3 linked regions of the Lonchura striata genome follow. The protein of the gene in region 1 interacts with the protein of each later gene in a biochemical or structural test. Links are inferred from orthologs where the notes say so. Each region holds a gene or a part of one and is shown in the gene's direction. Other genes may lie near its edges.

Region 1 (3,741 bases):
CTGCGGGGCGCCGGTGGCACCGGGGACGCGGCCACCCGGTGCCGGCGGCGCCTCCCGCCGCTGCCCTGCCCGCCCCGCCGCGCCTCGGGGCCGCGACGCCGCGGCACGGACGGGGCCGGGCCCCGCGGCCGGCGGTGGGCTCGGTGCCGCGGGGCTGCGCTCGGGGGTCCCCGGTGGCCGGTGGCTGCCCCGGTGGGAGCGGAGTGGGGTGGGGGGGGGTCGGGCTGGCCGCCGTGCACATCTGGGAGTGATTTGGCACATTCCACTGGGCTGAGCACATGCCGGCGCCTGGGCCTCGCCGCCGCGGCCCCGGTGTGCGGGGAGGGGCCCAGCGGCTGCTCCCGGCTGGGGGTGCCCCGGCCGGGGTGTACAACATCGTTCTGGTGAGCACACGGGGGAAACTGAGGCACGGGAATGTGCTGAGTGGCCTGGCGGGCCATCACCCTCCTGTGTGGGTACCGTGGGATCCTGACAGGTATCCCAGGGCTCTGGGCAGCGGCGGCAGGGCTAGTGTGACTCCCCCCGGGGCTTGTGGTGAAGCTGCCTACACTCCTCACATGTGTGCCTTCGCAGGGGAGCTCCTGCCCCGCTGCCCTCCCAGCCCTCCCAGGGTCTGGGCTGTGCTGGTGGGTGCAGGGCATTGGGTGCCCTTTCTGGGCTGCCAGAATGTGGCTGGGTAGCCTGTGTCCATGTCCGTATCTCCATCGCCATCCCCTTCCTAGAATCAGCATCTCTCCAGGGACAGACAGAACAGGGAATTCCTCTGGGTACAGGCACCACTCTATACCCCCGGGGTGCCACAGGTGCCCCCAGCTCTTCCCCTCTGAGCCTGGGGGGGCAACCCAGGAACTCCCTATCCCTCTCCCCTCTTCCCCTCAATGTGTTCCCATCTCTTCCCTACACCCCTGGAGCACCCACCCCTGTGTTTTCCCTCATGTGGGCGCCCCAATCCCCCACCTGGAGGGGGGGGTTGGGTATCCAGAGGCAGAGAAGAGGGAAGCGGGCTGGGGGTGGGGGTGGGTGGGGGTCGTTGGAGCACCTCCTCCTGTGAGTGGTGTGGTGGGTCGGGGGCGGAGAAGAAGGGTAAGAGTGGCATCGAAGTCGCGGTGCGCGGCCCCTTTAAGAGCCCCCCCCCCGGCCGGCGCGGCGCGCGCACCCACTTTCTCCCCTTCCGCTTTCTGGAGACTTCAAAGAGTCACTGAGCGGCGCCGGCCCCGCCCCCGCCCCGCCCCCGCCCGCGCCCCATTGGCCGCTGGGCCGGGGCGGGGGCGTGGCCACGGGGAGGGGCGTGTCCTCCTCCCGCTCCCCCCGCCCTCCGCCGCCGCCGCCGCCGCCGCCGCCGCCGCTGCCCCGCCCGGCCCAGCCCCGGGTAAAGTTTCCCCGCGAGCACATGACTCGCAATGGCCGCGGCCGCCGCTCGGTGAACCCCCCCGGGAACCCCCACCCCACCCCTCCCTCACCCCTCTAAGCCGGGGCGAAGCCCCCCCTTCCCCCCCAGCTCCTTCCCGGTGCCGCCGCCATGCAGCCACCACCGGGAACTCCCCGGGTTTAAGGATTTCGGTGTTGGAGTCTCCGCGAGCAGGTAATGAGGGGGCTCTGGATCTGCCCGTGGGAGCGGGGTTGGGAAGGAGGGTCTTGATGCGGCTCCGGTACCGCCTCTGGGGATCCCCCTCCGGTAACGGGTGATCCCGGGGTTCCCGCAGCGGGGGAGGGACTCCGCCGGGCTGCGGCTGCCGGGAGCACCGGAGCCGCAGCGGGTTCGAGATCGCGGCTTTGGCCTCTGCCTCTTACACTGGGCTTGGGGGTGCCGGAGTTCCCTTTCCCGGTACCGACTGCCTGGGCGCTCCCGGGCGGCAGCGCTGCGCCCCCACTCCGGGGCGGGCTCCGGGGCGGCTCCGCTAGCCTCTACACCCCACCGGGGACCGGAGCACCGCCGCAGAGCGCGGTGCTGGGGAGACCACCCCGGGATTACCGGGCTCTCCGGGGCCGCCGGTGCGCGCAGCCACATCCCCCCCCATCCTCCCGCGGCGGGGGGGGGCCGGGGCCGCTTCCCCTTTCGGGGTGCGGCGGGGCCGGGGCCCGGCGGGGGAGCGGGGCCGGGAGCGCGGGGGGCGCCGGGGGCCGGGGGGCGGGAGCGGCGTCTGCGCCGTTTCCTGGCCGGCGGGCGGAGGAAGCCATCGCTCTGCGCGGCTGACAGGGCGGCGGCGGGCGGGGGGGCCCGGGGGAGCCGGGCGGGGGGCGGCGGGGCCGGGGAAGGGACCGCCGGCCGCCGCCTCCCTCCCGCAGCAGCTGCCCGGGGCCGGGCTGCGGGCGGCGGAGCCCCCGCGGGCTCGGGGCGGGGTGGGGGATTTGGGGGTGCAGTCCCCCGGGTACTCAACCCCGACAGAGCGGGGACCCCCCTCGGGGGCGGGGAGCAGCGCCCCGGGCCGGGGCAGGGCGGTGCGGAGACAAATCCGTGCCTCTGTCCCCCAAATCTGTGCCTCTGACCTTTGACCTCGTTGGTGGCAGGGGCCGCCCCGCGGCGCGGCGGGTGCTGGGGGGGACACGGGGGTTCCCCCAGCCGGTCCCTCCGCTCGGGGAACCGGGCAGGCACCGGCCGGTGGCCCCGGGTGCGGCACCCGCCGCGTCCTCGCACCGGGATTAACGGGTGACGGCTCGGTGGCTTAGCGGCCCCGCGGCCACTGCTCCCGGGCCATATGTCACCCGTGGGCCCCCACCCTGCCCTTGGGGGTGACCTTGCTGCGGCTCGAGGGAGCGCCTGCTCCCGTGGGTGCTCGCACCAGGGATGCCCGCGGGTGTCCTGATGGGTGTCTGGCCCCTTTTTCCCCGTTGCTTGCAGCCCCCCTAGGTGACACGGTGACACAGCCACCGACAGTGGGATGACAGGAGCAGGGCAGTGCCCTGCGCCTCATCCGGAGCCGCCTGGTGTGGCTGCTCCATCCCACAGGGACACCTGGCTTCACCCAGCTGTCCTCACACATCCTCCGTGTCCCCGCGCTCGGTCCCTGTGGCAGGAGCAGCGTCGCTGCCACAGAGCCTGGGGACGGCTGTGCCACCGCCACCGCCTGCCCTGCGGCGCTGGGATTCACCATCCCGCCGCTCTGGATCTATTTATATCCAGGAGGTTCTGGTGTGACAACGTGCCACATTTGGCCGCGCGTGCCCTGAGCCGCCGTGCCCTGAGCCACTGTCTTGGCAAAATCCAGCGCCGATGCCAGTGCTGCCATGAAGAGGATGGCTGGCCTCTGGGGTCCCCCGGCCCTTTTTGGGGCGCTGCTGCAGCACGTCAGGGCTGGAGGAACTGTGAGTGCTCTGCAGTGCGTGCCTGGAGCCTCAAGGTGCCCCGTGCCGTGGGGCACCCCTGTGCCGCAGGGCCCCCTGGCAGCGCCAGCCCCGGGGGGAGCGCAGCGAGCGCGGGGGGTGCGATCATATCTGCGGTGACACATGTGCTGATTACGGAAAATGGGTTAATCTCCCTGCGGCTGGAGGCGGCTTAGCGGGGGGTGGCTCGTGGCAGGGCCCGGCGAGGGGCCGCGTGCGCCCGCCGTGGCCTCCGCTGTCCCCTCTGAGCCCCGGCTGCCCGGCAGTGACAGGGGACATGGCACACGGCTGCCTGCCTGCCAGCCCGGGCGCGACGCGGTGGGTCGCGGTGGTGCTGGTGGTGGCATGGAGCGGTTTGGCCCCCCCAGGTACATCAGGTGTCTGCTCCTGGGAGCCTGCCTAAGCTGGGGGCACGGTGCC
Region 2 (3,741 bases), on another chromosome or scaffold:
ATGTGAAAGTGTGCACACAGGATGATAAATGGGCTCGAACCAGTAGATAAACTGATAATGAGGAATATAGTGGCTTCTTGGGCCAAGTTATCTCAAAAGAAGCAGCAGTACATGCCCTAAGAGAAGTTCAAGGAAAGGTCATCTGTAATATTGGGGGCACTTGGTGAGTACAAAGACCCCTTCAGACTACCCTTTAGGGACATTAAAAGGCTTTGAGTAGGAGAGAAGAAGGCAGATGCATGCAAACTAGTTCTGTGAAAAGTGATGTTTATGTATTAGCCAGAAGTACACTGTAATCAGTATGTATGATCATGATGGAATAAATAACTTGTACCTTCTGGAAGCACATCAGATTAACAGAGCTATCGTTCTGATGTGTCCAGCACGGTAATAAAGAGTGTCTGTTGTCTGATACTTAAAATTGTGTTAGAAAGTTTGTTGTCTGATTTCAGTATGGGACCAACATTGCCTCGAACGTTTCCAGGGTTGGGACATCCACAATTCTCTGGGTAACCTTCTCCAATGTCTCACCAGCACAATACTTAAGGCCTTTGATTCAATACAATGTTCTGTCTAAACAAGAATTGTACTTTTCTGTTGTATCTTTTTAATTGTACCAATCACCAAATAGCTTCAGTCAGGTAATGTGGTGGTATTGCTGTGATCGGCCAAGCCAAATACAGGCCAAGACTCACAGCCTCTCACCTGCACGTAGGGCAGGGAGAAGGGTGACCTCTTTTAATGTGTTGTCCAAGGGACAAAGACGTCTCACCGAATCACAGAATGAGTCAGGTTGGAAGGGACCACAGTGGGTCATCTGGGCCGACATCCCTTCTCAAGCAGGGTCATTCTAGAGCACATGGCACAGGACCGTATCCAAACAGTTCTTAAGCATCTCCAGCGAGGGAGACTCCACACCCTTTCTGTGCAACCCGAGGGTTCAGAGCACGGTCACCCACACAGTGAAGAAGTTTTTCCTCAAATTCAAGAGGAACTTCCCAGCCTTCCTCTCACCCGGACAGAGCCAGGTACCGCCCAGGTGAGAGAGAGCGGCCGCGGGTGCCGAGGAGAGGGCGGGGCTCCCGGGACGAGGTGGGCGGGGCAGCGTTCGCCGCACGTAGCGGGGCGGGGCGGAGCGGGGCGGGGCGGGTCGGGGCGGGCTGCGGGCGGGGCGGGGCAGTCCGGGGCGGGGCGGAGCGGGAGCGTCCGTCCGTTGGCGGCGCGCGGGCGTCCGTTGGCGGCGCGGCGGGGCAGGCGCCGGTAGGCGGCGGCGGCGCGGGCGGGAAGCGGCGGGGCTGCTCCGCCTCTCTTCGCCTCTCCGGCGGCGACCGGCGCAGGACAATGGAAGAGGCGGCGCGGGCGTTAGCAGCTGCGGTAGCGGTGGCGGCGGGGGGGCCGTGCCCGGCGGACAGACCGGGGGCAGCAGCGGCGCTGAGCGGGGAGAACGAGGCCGAGAGCCGGCAGGGCCCGGCGGAGCGCGGCGGGGACGCGGCGCCGCTCAACCTGTTGGACACTTGCGGCGTGTGCGGGCAGTCCATCCAGAGCCGGCGGCCGAAGCTGCTGCCGTGCCTGCACTCGGTGTGCCAGCGCTGCCTGCCGCCGCCGGACCGGTACCTGATGCTGCCCCCCGTCCTGACCCCCGCGGCTGCCGCCGCCCTCAAGGAGCCGCCGCCGGCGGCGCCTCCCTCCTCGCCCGTCTCTTCGCAAGCCTCACCGATGCACTGCACGCCCAGTAAGTGACCCTTCTCCCTCTCTGCCCGTACCCCCTTGCCGCTGCCCGGGGTGCTGCCCGCTCCAGCCCGGAGGCCCGTGTGGGGACGGGAGCTGTCGGGACCGGGTGCCGTGGGCGGGGTGCGGGTGTCCGGCCGCGGAGCTGCCGGGATAGGAGATGCTCGCCAGCGCCAAGGCTGGCGGCGGGGTTGTGCTGTGGCTCGGTTTGTTTTAATCGCTGTTTTTTAAATTTCCCACCTTGGGAGGGAAGGCAGAACTCCCGTGCTTTCTCAGGACCGGGGCGTTGAGAGCCGGGCTCCCGCTGCGGGCGGTGGGCGCGGGCCGGGCGGCTGCTCTCGGGGAGCCGGCAGGCTCTGGCCCCTGGCCGGCAAAGAAGCCGAGCACCGGCTGATCTGATGACAAGGCACAGGAACGTAGCGGCAGGACAGGCTCTTCCTGAGGGGAGTCCTGCAGGTGTCATCCGCCGGCCTGGGCGGGGACCGGGGCGGCCGAACAATAACAACACTTGTTGGGGCCGTGGGCAGCCCGGGCGGCTCTGCTGATGCGCTTATGCGCCATTTACTTGCTAATTACCGCGAGGAAGTTTTGTTACGCTCGTGTGCCGACACAGTAGCCTCTGTCAATATGATTGAAAAGTACATGTCGCTGTAGAAGGTGTGGAATAAACTCCTTCCGTTTAAAGCTACTTTCCTAATGTTTTTGATTTTTTTTCCCCCCTAGCCCTCCTAGGCTGGGTGTAATGGATCGCTTAGTTTTGTTAAAGGCAATTTCGTCCTGTTGTGGAAGCTGGTGAAGGTCTTGGAAAAACTTGTTTAGGAAAGAGGAAGTGTGATGGAAATTGAGCTAATCGATAGGTATTAGTGGAGGTTGTACTTGTTGGAATATGTAGTGAGAGATCAGGTGAAAAGTAGTAGCTCCAGGTTGACATTCTTATGTTCTTTAAGTGGAGTTAGGAATACTTCTTCATCCTGCCAGAGTTCTGACCAAAGATTACCACTCGAATATGTAAAGTGTTTGCAGAAATTCTTAAAGGAAACGCCTTCTTCAGAGAAAGAAATACTTGGAACAGCTAGAGATTTGCTTCAGAACATCTGAGGAGCTCCCAAGTATGTTAACAGGATATGCTGAACCTCTTCATCTATGCGAGTGTCTGTGTTAGTATATTCATTCAGTCTTTAATTTTAGCATGTAAAGTATGTCGTAGTCAGACTGCCTAATCAAGTTACAGAGTGGGAAAATCTGTGAGACCCAAAGCCCGTATACTTATACTTGATTGATTCAAGACATGTTACTGCTCATATGTCTATAAGTGGGAGGGAGATTCTGGGAGGAACAGAAAAAGCACAAACTCTGGAGTTTAATGAGGTATTTCAGGTGAGATACTTGGAAATAGGAAAGAGGGTATAGATACAAGCTCAGGAGTTTGCAAGGTAGTGTAAGAAGCAATATTATCATTGTCTTCTGAGATTTGAGGTCATGAACAATACAGGTCCATTCCCAGATGTTCTTTATAAATATAGCAGAAATAGGGATCTGTAGCTGAATGAGAAATGAGATGCATCATAAGAATTAAAACATCAGTGCTGTTCAAACATCTGCTTGATAATGAATCACAGCAACAGTGAGCTTGTAGCTCTGCTCCCTCCTTTTGATTACGAGTTGGTTCTTTATATTAATGATTTCACAGTACATACTCCTCCTTCTAAAGATTTGCAGACATACTGTACTTTTGGTGACAATTATTTTTACCCTTTTGACTTTTCTCCCAAGCTACTTTCATGCTTCCATACTAGAGTTCATTGTGCAGTTGGAAGAAGAAACTTACACTCACCCTGAGTATTTTTTGTATCTTTACTGGTCATGTGTTTGACTTGGTTAAAATGACAGGGACTGTGTATTAGCTAGCTATGGCCAAACTGAAGTGCATTGTCTACTATCCATTTTCCAACTGGTACAAAAAATACCAAAAAACTGTGAATTTGAAGTTAGGTTTGGGAAAAACTCACTTGC
Region 3 (3,741 bases), on another chromosome or scaffold:
GTGCCCGTGTCCCCGCTGTGTCCCGGTGTCCCCGCTGTGTCCCGGTGCCCGTGTCCCCGCTGTGTCCCGGTGCCCGTGTCCCCGCTGTGTCCAGGTCCCGGTCCCGGTCCCGGTCCCGGTGTCCCCGCTGTGTCCCGGTGTCCCCGCTGTGTCCCGGTCCCGGTCCCGGTCCCGGTGTCCCCGCTGTGTCCCGGTGTCCCCGCTGTGTCCCGGTCCCGGTGTCCCCGCTGTGTCCCGGTCCCGGTGTCCCCGCTGTGTCCCGGTCCCGGTCCCGGTGTCCCCGCTGTGTCCCGGTCCCGGTGTCCCCGCTGTGTCCCGGTGTCCCCGCTGTGTCCCGGTCCCGGTGTCCCCGCTGTGTCCCGGTGCCCGTGTCCCCGCTGTGTCCCGGTCCCGGTCCCGGTCCCGGTCCCGGTGTCCCCGCTGTGTCCCGGTCCCGGTGTCCCCGCTGTGTCCCGGTGTCCCCGCTGTGTCCCGGTCTCAGTCCCGGTGTCCCCGCTGTGTCCCGGTGTCCCCGCTGTGTCCCGGTCCCGGTGTCCCCGCTGTGTCCCGGTCCCGGTCCCGGTCCCGGTCCCGGTGTCCCCGCTGTGTCCCGGTCCCGGTGTCCCCGCTGTGTCCCGGTGTCCCCGCTGTGTCCCGGTCTCAGTCCCGGTGTCCCCGCTGTGTCCCGGTGTCCCCGCTGTGTCCCGGTCCCGGTGTCCCCGCTGTGTCCCGGTGCCGGTGTCCCCGCTGTGTCCCGGTGTCCCCGCTGTGTCCCGGTCCCGGTGTCCCCGCTGTGTCCCGGTCCCGGTCCCGGTCCCGGTCCCGGTGTCCCCGCTGTGTCCCGGTCCCGGTGTCCCCGCTGTGTCCCGGTGTCCCCGCTGTGTCCCGGTCTCAGTCCCGGTGTCCCCGCTGTGTCCCGGTGTCCCCGCTGTGTCCCGGTCCCGGTGTCCCCGCTGTGTCCCGGTGCCGGTGTCCCCGCTGTGTCCCGGTGTCCCCGCTGTGTCCCGGTCCCGGTGTCCCCGCTGTGTCCCGCGCTCTCCCCGGGGGTCGCGGTGCCCCCCCCGCCCCGCGCGCTCGGGCGCAGGCGCGCGCGGGTCACGTGCGCGGCGCAGGCGGCGGAGCGGCGCTGGAGTCCCGGGCCGCGCGCGACCCCCGCCCCGCGCGCCCCCGCGGCTCCGCGCGCGCCCCCGGCGGCGGCGGCGGCGGGTCCAGGTGAGGGGAGGGCGGGGCGGGGCGGGGGTCGGCACGCGGCCGCGGCGGGGCCGGGGCCGGGGCCGGGGCCGGCCCGGGCGGGGCGCAGGCCGAGCCCGCGGCGCGGGGGAAGGGGCGGCGGGGCCCGGCGGGGCGCGGAGCGGAGCCGAGCCGGTGGCCCGGGCCGCCGGCGGCGTCTCGGCGGTGCCGGCGGAGCCGCGGCGCCCGGCCGGAGCCTGTCAGCGCGCGGCCGAGCCGCCCGCGGCCCCGGCGCGGAGCCGCCCCTGCCCGGCCGCGCTCGGCCCGGCCGCGCTCCCGGGCCGCGGCTCGGCCCGGCCCCGCCGGCCCGGGAGGGACCGCGGCCGGGCCGGCGGCGCTGTCCGGCGCGGGCGCTGCCCGCGGGCCGGCCGCTGCGCGAGCCGGTCCCTCTGCCCTGACCTCATGCGGGCGGTGACGGCTTTGTGCCGTGTCAGCCGGGGCGCGTTGACGTTTCGCTTTTGTTCGCGTCCTCGGTGAGTCTTAAACCAGTCGGAAAAAGGCTCTCCACTCCTCCTCGCCGTGTGATTTCTGCGTTTCTCTAAATGCCAGCTACTTTAAAACCATCTCAGGAAGCTCAGAGCTCTGCTTCCTTCCCGCTGCTTTGGGGAATGGAAGGACAGAGCTCTTCTGTGGCTCTGCATCCTGGCAACAGGTTGGAGCTTCATGAGCTTTGTCTCTCCATAACCCCTCAGCCTCCTTATAGACACATGTTTGATCATTCCCCTCACTGGGAACTGTAGGGAAACCTTTATACGAGGTTTTATTGTAGTAAAACCTCTCTTAGAAGAACGTGCCTCTTGGTGGTCTTGTAATTATTGTGTGTTGTTCTGGCTGGATTTTTAGCTAAGGCGCCTTTCAGTATTTCCTGTGTGTGGAAACAAACACAAAGAACAAATCTGGCACCTTCCATAAAGGTTACCAAGTGTAATGACCACAAGATTTGGATTTGGCAGCTCTTTTCAAGTTGTAGCAGATGGTCCCAGCTTTTCTAGGTATCTTGTGGAGCGAGAAACAAAGGTTTTGAAGCGTGTGTTCAGAAGGGCCAGGTCTGGGCCTGGCGAGGTGTTTGCCAGAGATTCTAAGTATCCACTGAGCCCTGTGGCTTCCTCTGAAACTTACCTGGCTCCAAGAGGAAATGTTTTATAGTAACACTGTGTCCGGACTCTCCTGGGAGAGGAAAGATCCGAACGTGAGGGGCTGGCTGCACGCATACCTCATCTTCAGTTGAGAAATTACATTTCTTAGTATTTGAAACCCAAGGAAGGGTCTTCTGTTAGGCATTGGATTTGGGCTGAAAATCTCTCAGCAGCGCTCTCCAGCCATTTTCTCTGGAAGGCCTGTCCTTCTGTAGTAGGACTTGGAGGACTTGTAGGACTTGGTTGTTTACAACAGGCTTCCAGGTGATGGAGTAATTTAACATTTTTCTAGTAAAAAAGTAGATGCTTCTCTGACATAAGAATTCCAAGTCCTTGTGCATCTGGAAGTGTTGGTGTTTCCATTTTTCAGTGGCTTAAATATTTGACAATACAGGTTGTGGAGGTAAATTGTGCTGAGCAGCTGTAATGCCACTCTTTGTGCTGCCTGAGCACAACAAAGGTTCCTGCTTTTATGGGAGATGTTAAATGTTTCAGTGTGATAACTAAACCTTAAAGTGGCAGTATATTTTTATTTTCTTAGTACAAGAGCAATTGCTTTCGGATGGAAGCTGGAGTTACCACCCAATTAGACACTCACTAAATTTACTAGATTTGCAGTGGCAAAGGATTTGCTGCTGAAGGGATTGAAGAGTTAATGTGACTGTAACAGTTTGCATTGAGAATGGCGAAATTTTATAGGTTGCTAGCGAACCTCTGAAGGGCAGAAGGCATGATGAGGGTGTCTTTCAAAGTCCTGTGGTCTCTGTTGAGAAATGCAAAGCTGTGGTGCAGGGACAGTGTGAGGGAACAGGAGGCCTGCTGGTTGTAGAGCACTGAGCAGCAGGACTTCACCCTCAGTGCTGCAAAAACTGTATTCAAGCCTCAGCTTTTTCCTTAATGCACCAGCTGGACCAGAAGGAATGAGAAAGAATGTGTAGGGCTGGGAATAGGTGAGGACCAGCAGTGGAAGGAGAAATAACCCCAGGTGATACCAAGTTGAGGCAGCAGGGAAGATGAGGTTTTCCATCTCTGGGTGAGTCTCTCCATTTCCACCAGCCAGACAAGCAAGTCACCTTTGCTTTAGCAGAGCCGTGGATATTTTGTGCTTTGTCTTGACACTGTTGCAGACTCTGTTGTCCCCTCAGGAGCAGGTCTCTGATGTTCTTCAGGAGGAGCCACCCATTAATTGCAGATAACTGAGCATTTCAGCCACGGAGTCAGCGTGTTCCTGCATGGAGAGCTGGAGGTTTAGCTCAAGAGGATGAAGATAACTTAGATTGTCTTGTGCCCATGCTAATTAGAGTAATGCTGCTGGAGTTTAAAATTAATCTAAGATTTGGATTATGCAGGCTGGTAGTGGAAGTTTTCCAGAGGTCCAGAAGCTGGGGATTTTTCT

Evidence for each region.
Region 2: the proteins of RARA (region 1) and TRIM24 form a complex in vitro, tested with the Homo sapiens proteins (3 studies listed by BioGRID). The link is inferred for Lonchura striata from reciprocal best matches to the Homo sapiens genes RARA and TRIM24.
Region 3: the proteins of RARA (region 1) and NCOA6 form a complex in vitro, tested with the Homo sapiens proteins (3 studies listed by BioGRID). The link is inferred for Lonchura striata from reciprocal best matches to the Homo sapiens genes RARA and NCOA6.

Annotation. Positions count from the first base shown.
Region 1 is NC_134627.1:6,948,467-6,952,207, reverse strand, and holds the start of RARA (retinoic acid receptor alpha), read left to right. Parts: upstream 1-1,457; 5' UTR 1,458-1,582; intron 1,583-3,741. UniProt on the Homo sapiens protein: Receptor for retinoic acid. Retinoic acid receptors bind as heterodimers to their target response elements in response to their ligands, all-trans or 9-cis retinoic acid, and regulate gene expression in various biological processes.
Region 2 is NC_134607.1:230,261-234,001, forward strand, and holds the start of TRIM24 (transcription intermediary factor 1-alpha), read left to right. Parts: upstream 1-1,341; coding exon 1,342-1,732; intron 1,733-3,741. UniProt on the Homo sapiens protein: Transcriptional coactivator that interacts with numerous nuclear receptors and coactivators and modulates the transcription of target genes.
Region 3 is NC_134619.1:14,165,151-14,168,891, forward strand, and holds the start of NCOA6 (nuclear receptor coactivator 6), read left to right. Parts: upstream 1-1,119; 5' UTR 1,120-1,191; intron 1,192-3,741. UniProt on the Homo sapiens protein: Nuclear receptor coactivator that directly binds nuclear receptors and stimulates the transcriptional activities in a hormone-dependent fashion. Coactivates expression in an agonist- and AF2-dependent manner.